Solanum lycopersicum: one gene and its partner. Each later gene encodes a partner of the first gene's protein in a complex. Links are inferred from orthologs where the notes say so. Each region holds a gene or a part of one and is shown in the gene's direction. Other genes may lie near its edges.

What was found.
Region 2: gamma-tubulin complex component 3 (region 1) and gamma-tubulin complex component 2 share a complex: the UniProt entries of both Arabidopsis thaliana proteins name them as parts of the gamma-tubulin complex. The link is inferred for Solanum lycopersicum from reciprocal best matches to the Arabidopsis thaliana genes SPC98 and AT5G17410.

The regions. Positions count from the first base shown.
Region 1 is NC_090808.1:2,980,290-2,984,504, forward strand, and holds the start of gamma-tubulin complex component 3, read left to right. Parts: upstream 1-1,403; 5' UTR 1,404-1,535; coding exon 1,536-4,033; intron 4,034-4,138; coding exon 4,139-4,215. UniProt on the Arabidopsis thaliana protein: Gamma-tubulin complex is necessary for microtubule nucleation at the microtubule organizing centers (MTOCs). Required for the positioning of the gamma-tubulin-containing complex on pre-existing microtubules and for the proper organization of cortical arrays.
Region 2 is NC_090801.1:61,614,573-61,618,623, reverse strand, and holds the start of gamma-tubulin complex component 2, read left to right. Parts: upstream 1-1,250; 5' UTR 1,251-1,564; coding exon 1,565-1,651; intron 1,652-1,837; coding exon 1,838-1,893; intron 1,894-2,060; coding exon 2,061-2,106; intron 2,107-2,536; coding exon 2,537-2,671; intron 2,672-2,856; coding exon 2,857-2,988; intron 2,989-3,496; coding exon 3,497-3,580; intron 3,581-3,658; coding exon 3,659-3,757; intron 3,758-4,051. UniProt on the Arabidopsis thaliana protein: Gamma-tubulin complex is necessary for microtubule nucleation at the microtubule organizing centers (MTOCs). Required for the positioning of the gamma-tubulin-containing complex on pre-existing microtubules and for the proper organization of cortical arrays.

The DNA.
Region 1 (4,215 bases):
AAATAATTTTTATGATTACCCTTTTTGGTCTATCACTTGTGAAGGCATTATCTAAAATATAACTTATTTTTTTTATAATTATTTAAAAGTTGGCTAGTGTTGCTACTTCTTCACTTCTTTTTCTTCTTTGCAACTTCACACAAAATACTTGTATAATTCATATTTAATGTGTTCCTGAATTATTTGTGCATAATCTAAAAGGAAATTTGATTTTCAATTGAAGTGTATATTATAATCTTTAAGTAATTTTTTATTTTAATAACTATCTTTTCCAACTAAAAAAATATTCAATTTCAAAGATAAATTTTAAAGTTGATCTACATTTAAATTTAATTCAACTTCAAATATGAAATCAAAAGCTAATAATTTTTTTTAGAATTAACTTAGTCATTGCAAGACTTTATTCTATATAGTTGTACTTCTATCATCATTACAGATCAAGTTTAATTAAATTGAATTCTAGATACTTCTATTATATCCATCTTTATTAGAGAAATATCTCTGATTAAATCATGATATATTTTGATAGATCAAAGTAAAAAAGTGTATATAGAATTTAAAAAGCAATTACTTATACGCATCTTGAGTGAAAAAAATACTTCATTCATAAATGCAGTAAAAATAACTCAGTAACATATAAAATATGATCATGATATATAATAACATGTCATCAAAGTCGATAATATGTGAAACGTATGACTCACTAAGATTAACCTATCAATCTATCTTTTTAGTATTTATATACATATGTTACAGTAATCAGCTAATTAGCCTTACTATTGGTCATGTCAGCAAATTCTGTTTTAACTGTCAGTTAGTTAGGTACAATTACTGTTGGTCATAGAGTTGGTTAGTTGATCATGAAGTTAGTTGAGAATTAGACTGAATAAGTTAGTACTACAGTTGTACATAAACACATCTCATATGTACACATCAGATCAATCAACATACAAATCATTGTTCTCTTATTTAAATCTCTCTTCTTCTCTAATTCTCCTCTTCTTTTCTAATTGTTCTTAAGCTGTTCTTCAATAGTTGATCTCAATCCAAAAATCTTCACTGATTCTTGCAATTGAGCTAATAAAATATGAAAAAGAACTAAGATAAAGAAAAGAAGAAGAAATCGAAAGCACTTGACTTTAAAAAATGGAAGCTAAATTATACAAATAAAGAAGATATACGATACTATCCTTTCTAGACTAGAATTTCTTGTAATTGAAAGCAAATATATCAAATTTAGCAATAGAGCATTAAAATTCAAAAGTACGCTAAGAGGAAAACTAAGAATTTCAATTTATAATACATAAAAATATCATAATTCCATACTAATGAATTTTTCATCTTTTAAAGTTTCAAACAAATATTTCAATTGATTTATATAAATAAAAAATATAAAGGGAAATATCATTTCCGCGCCCATATTAAATCAAAATTAAAAAAAGAAAAATAAAAATAAAAACTGTTCCTTTAGGCATATTCACCAACTTCTCTCACTTAACTTCACCATCTCCGCCGCCGGCCACCGCAGATCCACCATGGACGACGGCGACCGAAGAGCACTAGATCTAGTGAAAGAGCTAGTACACCGCTTACTTTCCACTTCTACGCCGCCCTCCACCGCCGACTCCCACCAGTCCACTATCTTAAACCCTAACCCTGTCATACCTTCCGATCAACAGTATCACCAAGCGCTAAGATACGCCATTCGCATACTCTCCAGTCGAATGACACCTTCAATTGCTGCGGATGAGTCCGCAATGGTGGAATCCATTAAGCGACGGTTAGCTACTCAAGGTAAATCGTCTGATGCCTTAACTTTTGCTGATGTATATACCAAATTCTCGTTGAAAACAGGACAGGGTAGTGTAAGAAACAAATGGGCTGTTCTTTATTTGCTTAAAACCGTCTCCGAAGATCGGAAAATTCAAAAACACCAGTCTGCTTCTGTAGCACCTAACGGGTTTCTTAGCTCTGCATTGTCGGGTGGTTTACCGGAATTGGTTGGTAGTGAATCGAATCGTAATTTCGGGCTCAGAAATGATAGTTCTAAGGTTTTGAATAATGTGCAGGGTAACATGGATAATAGTAAGGATTCTAGGGGTTTGGTGGGTAAATTGGGTAAAATGGAGAAAGGCTATAGTGATCGTAGTCTGAGTGATGATTTTCAGAGTTTGAATTGTGTAGGTGATAATTCGAGAGTTTTGAGGGGTAAAGGTGAAGTAGGGAAGGGATGGAGTGGAGGGGTTTTGATGGTTTCCAAGGATCCGGAGAACTTACGTGATATGGCGTATAAGGAGTTTGTAAACTTGTCGAAGGAAGAAAATGAGGTATCTGAGGATGTTTTAGTGAGGGATGTGCTATATGCTTGTCAAGGGATTGACGGGAAGTATGTAAAGTATGATAAGAATGAGGATGGTTATGTGTTGCCTGATTGGATGAAAGTTCCAAGGGCTACGAGAAGTGTTGTTAGGAAGCTTTGTGAGCTTGGCTGGTTGTTTAGGAAAGTTAAAGGATACATCTCAGATAGTATGAATCAGTTCCCTGCTCAAGATGTAGGCACAGTTGGACAAGCATTTTGTGCTGCATTGCAAGATGAGCTTTCAGAGTACTATAAATTGTTAGCGGTGCTCGAAGGGCAGGCAATGAATCCAATACCATTGGGTTCAGAGGGTGCATGTTCAGGGAATTATATTTCTCTAAGAAGACTGACAGTTTGGTTTGCTGAGCCAATTGTGAAGATGAGATTGATGGCTGTTTTAGTTGATAACTGTAAGAGCTTAAAGGGTGGGGCAATGGCTGGTGCAATTCACATGCATGCTCAGCATGGTGATCCACTCGTTAATGATTTTATGAAGAGGTTATTGCGTCGGGTGTGTTCCCCTCTTTTTGAGATGGTGAGGAGATGGGTGCTTGAAGGAGAACTTGAAGATATATTTGCTGAGTTTTTCATTGTGAGTCAACCTGTAAAAGACGAGTCTCTTTGGAGAGAAGGTTACCGGCTTCATGCTGCCATGCTTCCTGCTTTTATTTCCCAGTCTCTTGCCAAACAGATATTAAGGACTGGTAAATCAATTAACTTTCTCAGAGTTTGTTGTGATGATCGTGGTTGGGCTGATGCTGCAACAGAAGCAGCAGCAGCTGTTGGAACTACAACCACGAGAGGAAGTCTTGGGTATGGCGAAACTGATGCGCTTGAATCTCTGGTTACAGAAGCAGCAAAAAGAATCGATAAACATTTACTTGAACTTATGCACAAAAGGTACAAGTTCAAGGAACATTGTCTTGCCATTAAGCGCTATTTGCTTCTTGGTCAAGGTGATTTTGTACAATATCTAATGGATATTGTTGGTCCTGAGCTATCTGAGCCAGCTAATACTATCAGCTCATTTAAGCTGGCAACTTTGTTGGAGAGTGCTATCACCTCATCTAATGCGCAGTATGATGGTTGTGATATACGCGCTAGATTAAGAGTTAAGATGATGCCACATAAAACTGGAGATAGAGGGTGGGATGTCTTTTCTCTGGAATATGATGCTGGTGTTCCTTTGAATACAATTTTTACAGAGTCTGTAATGACAAGATATATAAGAGTCTTCAATTTTTTGTGGAAGCTCAGAAGAGTAGAACACGCGTTAACTGGTACTTGGAAGACAATGAAACCAAATTGTATCACTTCCCACTTCTTTTCTAAGTTGCCACAGGCTGTTAAGTCGCAGTTGATTTTGACATCAAGAAAGTGTCAAGTTCTTTGGGATGAGATGAATCACTTTGTTTCTAATTTGCAGTACTACATCATGTTTGAAGTTTTGGAGGTCTCATGGTCTAATCTTGTGAAAGAAATGGAATTATCGAAAGACCTTGATGATCTTCTTGCAGCACATGAAAAGTATTTGTTTGCAATTTTAGAGAAGTCTTTGCTTGGAGAACGTTCTCAGGAGCTTAACAAGACACTCTTTGTTTTATTTGACCTGATATTGCGCTTCCGAAGTTTGGCAGATCGACTATATGAAGGCATTAATGAGCTGCAATCAAGGTATTGATCTTTTTTCTCCATCTCTAAATGAAATTTGGATCCCCCCCCCCCCCCCCCCCAGTATTTCGATGTTTCTAACAGTTTGTATCTCCTTATAAATTACAGGACTTCAGATACATCAATTAACTCTCGTGATAAAGTCAAGTCACGGGGAAAATCAAATGATAAAACTTCAGAACCAG
Region 2 (4,051 bases), on another chromosome or scaffold:
ATGATAGGACTTAGGAGGCAAAGCACAAAATCATGCATGTTTTAGGCATAAACATGTTGGACCTAAACTTGACTTTAAATTTTAATTTTGACCTCCAATTTTTATATTGCACAAACATACACTTTAACTATTCAATTTTTTAAATAAATAAACACATGAGTCCTACATTGAACAATACACGTAATACACCACATATGACAAAAAAATGACACGTAGGATGACATATGTGTCTCTTTGTTCAACTTTATACAAATTTAAGTGTCTATTTGTGCAAATCCAAAATTAAATAGCATAAATATAATTCGAAATCAAGTTAAAGAGCATATTTATGTATTATACCCATGTTTTAAATGCAAAGAACTCTATTGTTACTTTGATATGACCAAAAAAATAATTATAATTCAGATTCATTCATGAAACACAAATAACTACTCTTTCTAAATAATAATAATAATAATAATAATTATTTAATCTTTGTTCATTGACGAATAAGATATGTTTATGAAAGTAATTAAATAATAGTAGTATGTATTAATAAGGCAAATTGGTCATATTAAGATTTTTCACATTAATAATATTTAAATTAGGGAAAGGGTAAAAGTTCTTTGTTTGATCAAAAGTATCTTTGCCGTCAATATTTTGATCTAAAAATATTCTTGTTGTTATTTAATAGGTCAAAAATATTTACTTTCCAAATAAATATATTATTTATTATCCTTTTAGCACATTTTTAATAAATATTTTTATCGTAATATAAATATAAATTAATGATGAATATATTACGATATTTTATATATGACGTATATGATATGTCGAAGGGGTACATGAAATTATTCAATTTTAATTGATAAAATGAGATTAAGAAGAAAAAAATATTTCACTTTTTTATTTTGTTAAAGTGATTTCAAAAGAAAGAACACAAAAACATGGTTCGTTAATAATATTTTAATTAGGAAAAAGATTGTGTTAAAAAGAAAAATATAATATATTTATTCAGAAAATAACATTTTTGACTCATTTAGTAACTATAGGATCATTTCGGACAAAAATATTGACAAAGGTACTTTTAAACTAAAATATTGATGGTAGATATTTTTGAGTCAAACTATAAACAACGAAAAATATTTTTATTTCTTTTACATAGTTTAACAACATTTTTGACCCATTCCCTTTTAAAAAATTTAATTAGCAAAACAAAGTGTGGAGATTTTTGAAATTATATATATATATATATATATATATATATATATATGTTATTATTATTATTCGACAAAAGAGAACTACTACCATCTCTGGGCAAAATTTGCAGTTCTCTTTTTGTTTAAACTGTGAGACTGAATTTGCTTTCCCAAAAATTTCATCTTCAGCTAATCAGAACATCAACCCTAAAATGAGAAACACTTTGTGAAATCTTGAAAGTTTAAGTTCTGAATTGAACTGCGGTGGCATTGTGGTCGTGTCTACGGTTTCAAACAGTCACCGGAAGTGCCGGTGGAGCAATTCCTGCTGAAACTGAGTTGGGTCATCCCCATTTACTTCAACTTCAAGATTTGAGACGAATTACATGGATTCAGCCGCTGCAATTTCTTTATGCCCATCAACTCCTGGTTGGAATCTCGATCGTCCCTTTCTTACTGGCCAATTTTATCAGGTACTCAACATTTTATTGCTTGACATATGTATGCAATAAACCCCTTCATGCCGTTATCTAAAACCTTCATTTTCTTGGACTTTTTCGACTCTTCATGAATGCTGCTTTTTTCCGCCCTTCTTTTCTTCTTTTTCTTGATGTCCTAGGTTGAATTGAAACTATTTTGCCCCTTGAAAATACATACAGGAAACAAAGATTTCGTCTGGAACTTCTGAGTACAAGGGGTTTTCTGCGGAATCAAGGTTCCCCTTTTATTCCTTGGCTTTCTGCTATTACAATTCAATTTTTTTTTTTTTAATAATGTGTTTTATCTTGGTGTGTTTGATTTACTTTTTTAAGTCAAATTGGTGACTTCTATTTGGTACATCTCCTACTTATTTTCTGTTTCTGTCTGGAAATTTTAATGCAGTTCCGGAGCAGATAAAGCTATAGGTTGTTACCATGCCACCATTCAGGTATGCCTCTGCTGAATCAAATAGGTTGTTCCTTATCCATCTTTTTATAATTTTTGTTCATATTGTTGTTGGTTGTCACTCTTATTGTTATTGTTATCATCTAGTATAATGCCAGTAAGAAGAAGTTATATATTTGACTCCAAACGTATACACCTGGATCATAAGTTCTAACGAGACTGTAGTCAACTTATGTCATGTTTTCTTCTTGTGTGTGTGTTGATATAGTTTGCAAGTTAAGGTCCTGTGAATATTTGTGTATTTTCTTGCTTTAAGTTTTAAGGTTAAGGATAGTGAGGACTATTATGTTGTGGCCCATCTAAATGGTTTTTCTTGTTAATATGTTATGTCCTATATGAACTTGACGATCTTGGTTTTGAGTTTGGTCAGGGTCACCGTCATTTATTAAAATATTGTCTTAACTATTATGCAGGAATTGATTGTTATTGATGATCTTCTATCTACCCTTATTGGAATTGAAGGACGCTATATTTCGATCAAGAAAGTCCGAGGGAAGGAGGATGACATAACCTTTCAGGTTGATGCATCTATGGATTTAGCTCTTCAGGTACTTATAGGGAGATATGTTTTCTGTAAAAATAGCTAACGAAAAAATGAGACATTTCATCCCTGATATATAGTGTTCTAAAGCAACGAAATATTTTGAGGCTAAAAGCCAAGTAAACATGAAAGAAAATCCATAGCGTATTTAGTTTAAAACATTAGCTGAAATAATTTGGGCTATTATTGTAGGAGTTTGCAAAAAGGCTGTTCCCGTTATGCGAAAGTTATATCTTGATTAACCAGTTTGTGGAGACAAGGTCACAGTTCAAGACAGGCCTAGTCAATCATGCCTTTGCTGCAGCTCTAAGGGCACTCCTCCTTGTAAGTTTCTTATTTATTGATCCTTCTATGGTTGCATGGTGGATTATTCTTTTCTCTACTTGTTTATCTGGTATGTTATCCATCTTATGTATAAGCTCTTCTTGAGGATATCTAAATTTTATATTTGAGAAATCATTTCTGGGAGGATTGAATCATCTTCATTATTTGTTTAATCTCTTTTTGGATACTGTAGATTCTCTCCTCCTTGGTATAGCTTGTATATGGTTCAATTATTACTAAAAAAATTATTACCTTACAAAATAAAAATCTCTTTTTGTGGATGGATTAATGTGACTTTCAGAAGATTATCTCCTGGGAAGCTGAGAAAACCTGTCTGCTACCTTAATTTGGTTCAGCTAATTGTCTAAGGTTTTTGGATGCCATGAGTTGTTTCCATAATTGTCCCATGCTGTGTGGACATACATGTACAATGTAGTATTAAGAGAAAGAATAATAAAGGAAAATAAAAAGGGAGAGCTAATTGAAGTCTAGAATATATTTTTTCCAGGACTACCAAGCAATGGTGGCACAGCTTGAACATCAATTTCGCTTAGGAAAACTTTCTATACAAGGATTATGGTTTTACTGCCAGGTAACGCTGCTTAAACTGGTTTAATTTCCATTCAGTTTGACTCCTCGTCATTGGTGCTTATGAAGCTATGTCTTGCAGCCAATGATGGGTTCGATGCAAGCACTGTCTATGGTGGTGAAAAAGGCTGCAGCGGATAACTGTGTTGGTTCTGCAGTCCTTAACCTCTTGCAAAGCCAGGTCTAACATCTTAGTCACTTTTCATGACTTTAAGGATCTATGTCTGAGTTCCCCTGGAATTGTGGAATACCATAGATTCATTACGATGGTTTAAATTCCATATTTGCTTGAACATTTGTGGTTTGGTTTCGCATGGTTATCAAAATGAGACCTGCAATTTTTATGTTTTAAGGGGTCGTTTAGTAATGCATGTATTAGTTATGCTTGCATTCATTATTCAATAATTATTTTTATGCATTGTTTGGTTTGATGCATTAAAAATAGCATTTATTGCATAAAAAAGTTATTTACAAA